Rattus norvegicus: one gene and its partners. The protein of the gene in region 3 binds, or shares a complex with, the protein of the main gene of each other region. Links are inferred from orthologs where the notes say so. Each region holds a gene or a part of one and is shown on either strand. Other genes may lie near its edges.

Region 1 (3,648 bases), on a different chromosome or scaffold from region 3:
GGGATACCTGAACACTGAGGAAAATCTGTCATCAAGGGTTTCTTTTGTTTGTTTATTCAGGTGCTTTAACATTTTTAAAAGAATATTTTATTTACATCAAACTTTGCTGAACTACAGTGACATTCCAATCACAATAGATGACGACGCCTCTGTCACTAGGCACTTTTAAAAGGGAGTTTAGGCTTTACAGAGCTCTTCCAGATGCAGTCCTGTGTGATACTACATCATCCCACCACCCTCGCCCCACTAAAATTACCCTTCGGGGAAATATTCTTTTATATAGCCTGATCGGTAAACTATGGAAGAAATTAGTATAAAATGACCACAGGAAATGTATCGTTTAAGACTAATAAAACAGCCTAAGTTGTCACGTTTGAAAGAGGAGACAATTTGTATATATTTAAAACTAATTAAATAATTTAAATTTGACTTGTACTTTATATATTAGACACAAATATAGGCTATTTTCTTTTAAAATTTCATCACATAATGGAAAATTTCTTGTTTATTAAAAATATCACATTTTGATACTAGAAACAGTAAAGTGCATGAAAAGTTTAAAATATAAATTTCAGAAAACTCTTATAGCAGCAAAAAAGCAGAATAAAGAAAAACTTAAAAACACAGACACAACCTTTTCCAATGTTACTGTGCCATAATTAACATTTTCTAATTTTGCCAACAAATTTTCTCCCCACAAAATGGTGTTCATGCTCTCTGCCTCTTAAGATTTTCAAGTGGCACCTCCTGGCCAACAACAACAAATGGTGGGGGGTTTCCAATACATCTAGAGGCATCAAACTTTGGGAATAAAACAGTAGCTTAATTCAGATCTAGACAAATGGCAACGAAGATTAAAAGCATATGATGGCCATTTGGCAGCTAGAGTCAGAAAAAAATGATCCAAGGTTTTCAATTACTTCCCCAAATCTGTTCTTTCCTCAAAATCCTTTCTACTGTTATCTTAAAATGAAACAAAAAACCCAAAACAACAAATAAATTTACTTACTTTGGAAAACATATATAATATTATCTGGCTTTCCCTTTCTGAAACTCTGTCCAGGGGCTTTTCATTCAGCAATTTTCTTTAAATGTTTAACAGTAGTGGTAAAGATATAGATCATATTTTTCCAGTACAACCAGACCAAAAAAAAAAAAAAGGGTGGGCACGAAAATGAAAAATACCAGACACTAATTTTGTGGGCATACTAAAAAAAAACCAAATTTTAGTTTCAAGATGTATGGCAGTATTATCTGCTATTTCCTTATCAATGAACTTGAGAGATGGGCTTGGAGTTAATACTTCTAAAAAGATTAGGACTAATAGTAAGACAAAAAAGAAAAGACTAGAGAAAAGAAAAGAAAGATTCCTCAAAACAGCCAGCATCTGGCCAACCAACTGTCACATCCTATGCTTGATTTTAAAGCATGTTATGCAATTACCTTTCATTTCTCAAATTGTCTTGTTAGGGCTAGTGGCTATATCATATTTAATGTACAAATCAAGCAAATTTAAGTGCTTTGTTAATGTGCAAATGACTTGAGAGCCAAAAATCAGCTTGTTATGAAACAAAACAGAAACTCAAAGTTTTTCCTATAAGGCATACCATCATTCAATTGAAAATCTTGTATTTGGAGTTTTTAAAAATCACTTTTTACAAAAATGATTGGCTTATTTGAAAACATTCAAAAGAATGTATTTGTTTTTAGAGAACAACATTGGTGTGGGGTCTCAAATTAGTGATTTATCAGTTGTGAATGTTGGTTCCTAATACAATAGGAAAATAAGTCCAATTTTAAAGTATATTAAGCTTTTGGATAGAGACAGACAGTAATACTTTGGTTCCAGCCCTAGTGCCAAATGATATCAGTATGCACAAAAATATACAAAGTCTTACAGCAAACACATAGTGAAAGGAACCTGAAGAAGCAGCGTTAAAGATGGCCATACTTCACTCCTACATACTTTGATTTACAACTGTACAGGTCCATAGCCAGATCCCCGTCTCTGCGGGACTGTACTCCACTACCTCCGATTAGGCAAGTGAACACCGTTGACTAGAGGCAGGAGTGGAGGGTGGAGTTCAAGTTGTGTTAACAGTGAGAAGTGGTCTGAAGGGATGTGAGGGTGTGGACACCCAGTGATGTTGTTCTCAACCAGCCATTGAGGATCTAAAGGCCCCAGGACACCAAGCACGTTCATGTGAGTCTTGGAATAGAAAATGTAGTCAATCACGCCCTGGAAAGAGATTAGGGATAGCACAAAGGGGAAAGAAAAATATGTTTAAAAGAGAAAAACTCCATGAAAATAACAATTCTTACTTTGGAAAAGCTGAATAACTAAGAAACCCGTATTCCTGGTACCTGTTGCCCTAACTGTAGATTCGACAAGGCTCTAATCTTTGATGGGTTACTATTATGAATAAACATGGAAAAACAATAGAGAAACATAGCAGTTGACTGTATCATAAGGTTTTACATTTGTACATAAATTATAAGGCAAAAATGCTAAACAGGCACTTCTAGAACAGACTTTCTTGGTTTAGTAAAGTCTAACATACTATACAGTTAACTGTCTAAATTTGCTTAGTTTAAGATACTCATTTCTACAAGTTCTGGACTGAAGAAAAATATCAATTAGCAAGAAGACACATGCACATGTAGACATACTTGTACATATAACATTTGTTCTACTTCCCAAAGCTAGATGATTTAATTCATGTGATTGGTAAATAGCAAAACTAATGTGCCTTTACTGTCACAAACTGCATAAATTTCAGTTAATCTAGTATTTACCCCCAGCAAAGAGTCCACACTTAAGTAGAAAGAAATATTTCTACATGTGAAAATCATTTATTTATTCATTTAATAGAACAAGGTCTTGCTACATAAACCAGCTGGGCTTGACTTCAAGACCCTCCTTCCTCACCCTATCACACTTTGGGATTACAGGTATATGCCCCAACACCTGACGCATTGAAGATATGTTAAAGAAAAATCTTTTTTTTTTTTTCTTTTTTTTCCAGAGCTGGAGACCGAACCCAGGGCCTTGTGCTTGCTAGGCAAGCGCTCTACCACTGAGCTAAATCGAAAGTGATTTTAGACATATTCGGAAGATCAAGCTAAATGGCTTAAATGAATATGCCAAACTGTGTTTATTTTATAGTTTATGGACAACTTAAAAAGATTCTAAAAAGAATGGAAAAAGTAATATTTTCTCTTAATCTACTCATATAACTAAGAAAATGATTACAGCTAATTACTGAACACTTTTTTTTTAGGAGGCTTTTATTAGTTCTTCTGGGGTATGCTTGCAAATATATTATATATTATAATTACAAACATAGGATTTAAACTATCACTAAGTACAGAAGTATTTCTTTCAACTTCTGCAAAAACAGTATTATACAAGAGCTAGTGATTTCCAACTTTAACAGTACCTTTCGCAACAATGTCAACAAAAGTTATCACATTAGACTGGAAAAGTACATAATCCACAGAAAACACTACAAGTCAAGGCTTAGTAACCTCAGAAAGCTAGTTCTTAAATATTTAACTGCCCGTCGCCATGGACAAGTGATCAAAACAATACAAGCTATCAATAGATTTGTGTACTAGTAAAACTACATTAACGTCCAAGCAGTTTTT
Region 2 (4,147 bases), on a different chromosome or scaffold from region 3:
AGCCCAACCAGGATACAAAGCATCCCCTTGTCGTATCCTACCTGTCCATTAGTCACTTGGCGGACATCTTGGTTATCAGATGAACTGTTGTGGTATTACAGTGTTAAGTTCAGCTAACCCTTGCATTAATTAATTAATAACGGCTCCAATGTATAAACTTGCACAATATTTGTAATAACTGTCCACTTTTGTTGTTCGTTCTTTTATTTACCTCATTGTGTCTAATTGACCATTTAATTTATTTATAAATTAAGCTGTTTTATAGGGATGCATGTATGGGAGAGTAAACAGTATATAAACTGTTGTTCTAAAATCAGTGCTATTAAGTCTTAGAACATGACCCTGAGGATAAGGTATAGAAAGGAATTGATGCCGTAAACATTCTGGGAGGTGAGGACAAGATTTGAACCAGACACTGAATGACTATTTCCTTGGTGAAAGATGCAAGTCTACAGGTCTAAGAATGGGAGTGACTCTCAAACAGAAGTCCTAAGGAATCCATAAGACACATAATTAGACCTCTCAAACCAACCTAAAAATCTTCAAAGCAGTTGAGAGAAAGCAGGCAAGTCCTTACCAAAGGACAACTTGAAACTGGTAGGCTTCTCTTCTGAAGTGATGGGTAGGACGACCGGCACCCCTCAGGTTTCTAGAAGAACCAAGACCCCCAGGCCCTACACAGGTCAAACTGTTGTTATGGAATTAAAGGCGAAGAGGACACTCTGAGTAAAGGAAAACATGGGAACTTGCCGCTGTCATCCTGGGAGCACAAAAGTCCTTGGGGCCACAGAGCTCCAGAGAACCAGGAATGTTGAACACACAGGGGCCACTCCACAATGGAGGAGGTAAACATACCTTTTTTTTCCCACCCAGAGGGCTGGGAGTAAATATTGTTAATGATCTGGTGACCCTTTGCCTGTCTGTGGAGGCAGAGCTCACCTACCTTTTGCTATAGAGGCAGACCTCACCCAAATCCCCTACAATGTTTATCCCAGACTCTTGCTCCCTAGCTCTCAGTTAATAAGAAACATCCTTAGGGGGGATGACACATGTACTTTATAACCTGTTGACCTCTAAGCTAACTCAGTCAGAGAGCACACTAGATTCCAGGCCCTTTAGCTATAGAACCCACTGTCTTGGTCACGTGTACTTTGCAAATGAGTTTCTAAGTAGTCACACCTCAAGCTTTATTGAGCACCTGGAATTGGAATGATTGTTGCCTGGAAACCTGGAATGGGAATGACTGTTGCCTGGACATTTTTTTCCAGATTGCACTGTGTTTTTAAATATGCTGACAATGAACTGCCTGGCATTGGACTCCCTGAAGTCTGATCCAGGTTGACAAAGTCAATGTGAACCAAGCTTTCATTCTCATCTCTTCGTGGGTTGGCTTTGCTGCCTGGACACCTGCAGGATCCCCCTCATTGGCAGACCTTCCTTAAAAGAATGGCTAAGGGAAGCTCTCCAGAACTGAAGAAAATGGTAGCTGACCCTTCTAAGAGGAAAACACAATGAGGTGGGTAAACTGACTTAAATGTAACAGACTCTTCCCCACATGAGTTCTCTTACTCATGTTTTATGGTTAAGGTAGGATGGTGTGGCTCGTTGGTAGACCATTTATCTAGTACCCGAAAAGCCTCTAATTCCTCCTCTAGCACCCCACAGGACAAAGGATATAGAGGACAAAACGGCGGCAGTAGGTTGTGATAAGCTGTTTATGGGTATGATACAGCACAAGAAAACTACAATGGGGTACAACTGCAACTTTAGGGAAACACAAGGAAGGCCAAGCGGCCAATAGGGAGTCCTGGGAAAGCAAAACAAAACAAAACAGACAAAAAATAGGCTGACACACAGAGCAAACAAGAAAAATGCAAAACCCAAACGTTTAAATGACTGACTTAGTCGTAGCACTTCAATGGTTGTGCTAGATGAAGTAGTCTGGGGGCTGGCAGAGGCCTCAGTGGTTAAGAGTGTGCACTGCTCTTACAGAGGACCCAGATTCAGTTCCCAGCCTCCTTGTCAGGCAGTTCCAGGGGGATCCAGTGTCTCTGATCTCTGGGCATCTGCATTCACATGCACGCGGCCAATCACACACACACACACACACACACACACACACACACACACACACACACACACACTTAGAAAAATGAAATAAATCTTGAAAAGAGAAAGAATGATGGGTTAAAAAAAACACAGTTCAGGGGCTGGAGAGATGGCTCAGCGGTTAAGAGCACCCAACTGCTCTTCCAGAGGTCCTGAGTTCAATTCCCAGCAACCACATGGTGGCTCACAACCATCTGTAAAGAGATCCGATTCCCTCTTCTGGTGTGCCTGGAGACAGTGACAATGTACTCATCATATATAAAATGAATAAAAAACAAACAAACAAACAAAAAAAACCACAGTTCAACTATATGTTACCTATAAGACACAAATAAAACTGTTAAGAGTTTGAATATGGGGCTAGAGAGATGGCTCAGCGGTTAAGAGCACTGACAGCTCTTCCAGAGGTCCTGAGTTCAAATCCCAGCAACCACATGGTGGCTCACAACCATCTGTAATGAGATCTGATGCCCTCTTCTGATGTGTCTGAAGACAGTGATGGTGTACCTACATACATAAAATAAATAAAATCTTTTAAAAAAGAGTTTGAATATATGTCCCCCCACAGGCTTCTACAATGGGGGTTTGGTGGCTAATAGGCTTCTGGGAAATAATTTGATCCTAAGGACTCTGGTCAAAGCAATTGGTTTTTCTTTCATGGATTCTCGATGTGAAGTCTCGATGTGTTTGGAGGTGGAGCCCAGTTAGAGGACATAGGTCAGTAGGTTGTGCCCGAGGAAGATGTATCTTGTTCCCTTACTCTGCTTTCTCTCTTCTTAGCCACCATTAGGTGGATGAGTTCCTCTTCCACATGCTCATGGTCTCTGCTTCATGCCAGGCCCAAAGTGATGGGTCCAGTAGCCATGTACTGAAGCCTTTGAAACCATGAGCCACCATAAGTTACTTCATGTGACTTCGCCACAGCAACAAAAACTGTCAGAGTAAGGAAAGGGAACAGATGGGGAAAGATAAAGGAGGCCCAGGCTGAAATGGAGTACTTCGCCAAATATAAGATTTGTTCCTTCAAATAGAAGAGGGGCCACTTCACTGGTTTTATGGGCCAGTTGTACTCTCATCTAAAGATAGCACAAGAAAGAAAACCATGAATCCCTATCTCTCCTAACTTATGTAAATAAACGCATGAAAACATTGGCAGATCAAATCTAAGAATGTACAAAGAGGATGACATTCTTCCACTGACAGGGATCCATCCCAGTTATACAAGGTGTTTCAGTATCTGAAGATCAACAGGAAAAGTCCTATGACTGTATCAACTTAAGCAGAAAAGCTGAAGATATGTATTTGTGATAAAACACTTATGAGAGAAACTCTGTGTCTGTGGGCAGGGGAGGTAGTAGCTTAGTTGAGTAAGTGTATACACGATTAGTGCATTAGTCAGGGCTCTGTAGAGGAACTGATTGAATGAATGGATGGAATGAATGAATGAGTGAGTGAGTGAAAGAATGCATTAAAGATTTATTTAATTATGTGTATGAGTGTTTGGCTTGTCTCTGTACCATGTGCGTGCCTCGTACCCAAGGAGGTCAGAAGAGGGCATCAGATCCTCTGATCCTGGAGTTACAGACAGTTGTGAGTCCATGTGGATACTGAGAATCCTCTGCAGGAACAATTACTCTTAACTGCCAAGCTCTCTCCAGCCCTCCTGAATCTCAGTCTTCTTTGGAATCCTGAAGTAGGTTCTACTACTAGAGAAGAAGCAGCAGGTTAGATGAACTTGCCAGCGGGAATGAGGGCAAGCAGGCAAAAACAAAACCCCAAAATTTCATTCTTCCATGCCCTTTATATAAGCTGCCACCAAAGTGTGGCCCAGATTTAGGGTGTGTCTTCTGACCTCAAATGATCCAGATTTTAGAGTAAGTCTTTCCACTTCAAATGATCCAATCAACAAAATCCCCTGGGTGCCCAACCTTGGATTTTAGTTATTTCCAGATGAAGCCAAGCTGGCAGCTGAGATTAGTTATCATGCCTAGCATGTGTAAGGTTCTGAGTTTGATACCTGGGACCACACAAGCCAGTG
Region 3 (4,448 bases):
ATTCATTAAAGTTTAAGTTTTGCTAATATTAGCACCTACTTCAGAAATGAGCAAGGGTTGGGGATTAAGCTCAATGGTAGAGAGCTTGCCTAGCAAGCGCAAGGCCCTGGGTTCAGTCCCCAGCTCCGGGGGGAAAAAAAAAAAAAAAGAAAAGAAATGAGCAGAGAAGGATTACTGGTATTTCTAATTTACCAGCAGTATAAAATATTTATTTTTGAAGTTTTAATAAATCTAAGGCATCTCTGAAAAACCAAAAAGCACCCACCTTTATATAGGGAAAATAAAGGTGATTATTATTTTAGGGAGCATATCATTTGGAGCTTGATTTCATTTTCAAATCAAAGAGTTCTCAGATGGCTGGGATAAAAACCACTCACAGACATCAATCTGCTTCATTTTCCACCAAACAAATTTATTTTAAAGCACTTTAGAAACAGAATTTTCCAAAGGCTGCATTTACTGATGTGCAGATGACTCTCAGCCTCTAGCATCTGGTAGGGTTACAGATATCTCTAGACTGTATCTTAGAACCCAAGTGCTCTGTCAACACATGCACTACCTTAACTTCTGTATATTAGTAAAGCATTAACAGGAATGCAAAGAAAAAAAAGCTAAATACAGTTTTTATTTCTGGTCTAGAGTTATAAAATACTTAGAAAAAAGTCACTTTTTAAAAAATGAAAAGGTTCCATTTTAAAAATAAGGATCCTGCAAAGTCAGTAAAAGTGAAAAGTAAAAGAAATTGTGCATTTTGAACTTTTCCTTTAGCTTTAAGATAACAACAGACTAGATAGGAGAGCATAAGGATCCTTGTTAATGATCTTGGATCATTAAGAAAACATATCAAAGACACAAAACCTCAACACAGACAATATGTGAATGTAGACAGTCATTTCAGTGTACTGGATTTTTAAACAACACTTCCAACTTGGAATAAAATACCTTATAAAACTACAAAGGTGACTTTTGAGAAGGAACTGTGTTGAATATGCCAAGCATTTCCAAACATAAACTGTTGTGAAAGTTTAAATTTCTATCCCACTCGCTCCATATAAATTACCCTCACTTATTTGTTTGGAAAGGGAAATCTATAAGAACACAATTCCATCTCCTTAAAATTTCTCACTATGGAGAATAATAGAAAAATGTGTTTTTGAACATCAAATGTCTCCCTTGTGAACAGATTTGGTTAACTCAGTATCATACTTTCTACCATTCGCCAAGAATCTAAGGATCATATTGCTATATTTTATTAGGAACTGTCCAGATGATTAAAGAGAAATTCTTGGCTAAGAATTTAATGAAAATGAAGCAAAACACTCTTAACACTTGTTTTTCCAGATGCTGAAAAGTGGAGATGTCCCCTAGGATTTCCAAGAAAGTGTGTAAGATATTTTTGGAAGTAATAACATACTAATGGGGTCTAAAGTAAATGCAAAAAACAAAACCTTAGAAATAATTTTACGAAAAGAAAAGTACAATTAGATTCCCCTAAGGGCCTACAGATAACAAGGATTCTAAGCTTTCTCCTAAGCAAACAGTACCTCAATTAAGAACTATCGGGTTTCTTTTAACCCAACTTATTTCTTCTATGAAACTTTGAAGTGAAGACCTAAAACAGCAAAAGGTAGAGAGGGCCCGGCGGAAGTAGAAACCAGGGCTTGCAACTTCAGAGTGTCTCCGGTTCCTCCTCCGCTGCCCCAGGACCATCCGAACTCAAGTCTACACCACAAGAGAAGCTTCCCTCTCCGGGTACGGTGGCAGAAGCAGCATCTTAAGTTGCTCTCCTCCCTCTACCTTGCAAGGCCCTTCGGTATCTCAGGGCCTGGAGGCTCCTGAGGCCCGTTAGCCAGTGCGATGTCCCCATCTTACACAAACAAAAACACACAAGTGGCGGAGGATGCGCGTGTATTGCCAGAATGGGAAGATTCAAGGACCAGCAGCTGCTGGGAACGTGGCAGAGCCGTCTAAAGCGGCCGGGGCTCCTCGGATGCTGCCGCTGCCGCTGCCGCCTTCTCTCCTACCCCAGGAAGCAGCACGGCGGCAGTGGCTGCTCCGCGCCGGCGGGAGCCGGGGAAGCGGAGTACCGGGAAAGCCCCGTCGCGGGCAGCCAGGACCGGGCCTAGGCTCCGGAGCTGCAGCGGCTGCGGCGGCGGCGGCGGCGGCGGCGGCGGCCCGAGCACGGCGACGCTTTACGTCTTGTCCACCCCGCCACACACCCCCTCCCTCCTCCAGCGCCGCCACCCCCCTCCCCGCCCGCTCCGCTCTCCCTCTCTCGATTGGAGCCGAGACAAAAGCAACGGGAAGCGGCGGGCCGGGACGCTACCCGCGGACCCCGGGCGCGACCGGACCAGCCCCGAGGCATTCCCCCGCCTTGAGGGGGCCCTCAATCCGCCTCCCCCGCCGCGCGCCCCGCTGCCAGACTTCCGAAAATTTGCCAAAAACTCACCGCATGAATTTTCTTGTCCCGCGGATCCAAGATGGCGACGTATCCACCGCGGAGGCTGCTGGGAGCAAGACCTTTACCCTCTGACCCCCGCCGTGACCCCCGTCGCTCCGACTTCGCTCTAAGGCGGCGGCAGAAGGTGGCGAGCGATGCTCGCCTCAAGGACAGAGTGTTTCCCGAACGCCGGTCGACGGTGAGAAGCACGGCGCTCCTCAGGAGCCTTCCCGGGCTTCCGCCAGGCGTCCCGCCACCTCCCGCGGAGGTGCGGCGCTGCCTTGTGGCGATTACGGAAAGTGGGGCCTCCGAGGCCTCGCCGGGCTTCCCAAGCCAGACCGCCACACCAGGAGCTGCGGCCTGGGGTCCGAGAGCGGCCTCGGGGGCGGGGGCGGGGAAATGCTGAGGCAGCGTGGGTCCGCCCACCTGGGGACGCACAGCGTGTTTGTGTTTGTGTTTTCGTCGGACACCCCGCCCCCGAGCACCTCCTGCAGTCTGTCCCCGGGCTAGTGCTACTACTACCTGCCGGCGCAGTGGCAGCGGTACTCAGGTCCAATCGTCGTTCCGCAGCCTGCGCTTCCCGGGTGCGCACCCCCAAACACCCGCCGCACGCCGCCGGCACCCCCCTGAGCAGTGAGTTCCCCTCCGCTGGAACCTGGGCGTCTGATCGCCGCCCCCCCTCTTCCTTTTCATATGTTTTTTCGGTTCAAACCTGGTGAGAGGAAGTAAGGGGAACGTGTTTTTAAAGCACCACGGGGAGGGCTTAATCTAACCGTCCGATGTTTATGGCATTTTACTTAGTTCCCGCCCGGCGCGCCCTTTGTAAACCTTAGTGATCAGCTGGCTCATCCACTAAACCTTTTGAAAATACGGTGGCTGTGGTGGGAACTTCCAGGGTTTTGTTCTCCAAAACAGTGCAATCCCTGAAAGTAAAATTCGTTTTCATTGCTGTAATACTCTTACTTTACTCCTTTGAACATCCATAAACTTCGTGTTTTATGGTTACTAAACTTGCGAAAAAAGCCTCTGTGTGTTTTGAAGTTACTAGTTTCATAACGCATTGCTATTCCTGTTTGAGTGGTAGAACTTATTAATGTGGATTACTACTAATTTGAAGTAAATAAAATTTCTGCTGTTTTATTTTTTTAAAATTACCTTCTTCCAGCCCCATCCCCCACCCCAATCAACCAATATATATCACTTCGGTTTATCATAGTTGAAGGCCAGAAAAAGGAAGATAAAACCCAAGATGAAATTAAAAGTACTTTTGTCAAGGTTTTGAAGGTATTTTGGTTTATCAGCAAATATGCATAACAGTAGATATGTAAATTTGTTTAAATATCAACAGGAACTGGTATAGCCAAATAGAAAAGGTTTATTTTGCTGGGTTTTTCATTAAATACTCCATTTTACCCTTTTGTGTTTTGTTTTGGTTTTACTTCAGGGAAATTCAAGAAGGAACTACACAGTCCTATATGGCCCCTCCCCCAAGAGTGCTTTCCTATCTCTTCTGCTTTCTCTTCCTCTCAAGTTAACATCTACTGCTGTAAGGTAGTGTGTTCAAAGACTGAGTATACCTCTAGGCACGTACAGTTCTTGTGTATGAATGCATGTAATACAGAGCACCTTAATCTGGCTACTAATTATTTGGAGCCCTTTATGTGTATATAGTAGCATTATCACATTAAATAACATTAAATATTTGAATTCATTACTCTTCTTACCTATATTAACTTAACACATTTTTGTCCAAGTTTTAAAAATTGCTTTCAGTGGAGAAGGTCTGAGTTTTACTATGATTGGGTTTTACTAGGTGAGATAACATTTTCTTAATTAATGTGTGGAGCAAATTAATATGTGGAACTGGAATGCTAGGAAAGCATTCAATGAATGACCTAACATTTGCTAAGAACTTGTATTAATGGCTCAACATGATGTATGCACTCATAAAAATCTTAAATTGGGGTTGGGGATTTAGCTCAGTGGTAGAGCGCCTGCCTAGCAAGCG

Evidence for each region.
Region 1: Cnot2 (region 3) and Cnot6l share a complex: the UniProt entries of both Homo sapiens proteins name them as parts of the CCR4-NOT complex. The link is inferred for Rattus norvegicus from reciprocal best matches to the Homo sapiens genes CNOT2 and CNOT6L.
Region 2: Cnot2 (region 3) and Cnot6 share a complex: the UniProt entries of both Homo sapiens proteins name them as parts of the CCR4-NOT complex. The link is inferred for Rattus norvegicus from reciprocal best matches to the Homo sapiens genes CNOT2 and CNOT6.

Annotation. Positions count from the first base shown.
Region 1 is NC_086032.1:13,797,889-13,801,536, reverse strand, and holds part of Cnot6l (CCR4-NOT transcription complex subunit 6-like), read right to left. Parts: intron 2,240-3,648; coding exon 2,027-2,239; 3' UTR 1-2,026. UniProt on the Homo sapiens protein: Has 3'-5' poly(A) exoribonuclease activity for synthetic poly(A) RNA substrate.
Region 2 is NC_086028.1:34,529,279-34,533,425, reverse strand, and holds the start of Cnot6 (CCR4-NOT transcription complex subunit 6), read left to right. Parts: upstream 1-1,299; 5' UTR 1,300-1,516; intron 1,517-1,697; exon of another isoform or gene 1,698-4,147. UniProt on the Homo sapiens protein: Poly(A) nuclease with 3'-5' RNase activity.
Region 3 is NC_086025.1:54,105,118-54,109,565, forward strand, and holds the start of Cnot2 (CCR4-NOT transcription complex subunit 2), read right to left. Parts: upstream 2,844-4,448; 5' UTR 2,455-2,843; coding exon of another isoform or gene 2,450-2,454; intron 2,196-2,449; exon of another isoform or gene 1,545-2,195; intron 1-1,544. UniProt on the Homo sapiens protein: Component of the CCR4-NOT complex which is one of the major cellular mRNA deadenylases and is linked to various cellular processes including bulk mRNA degradation, miRNA-mediated repression, translational repression during translational initiation and general transcription regulation.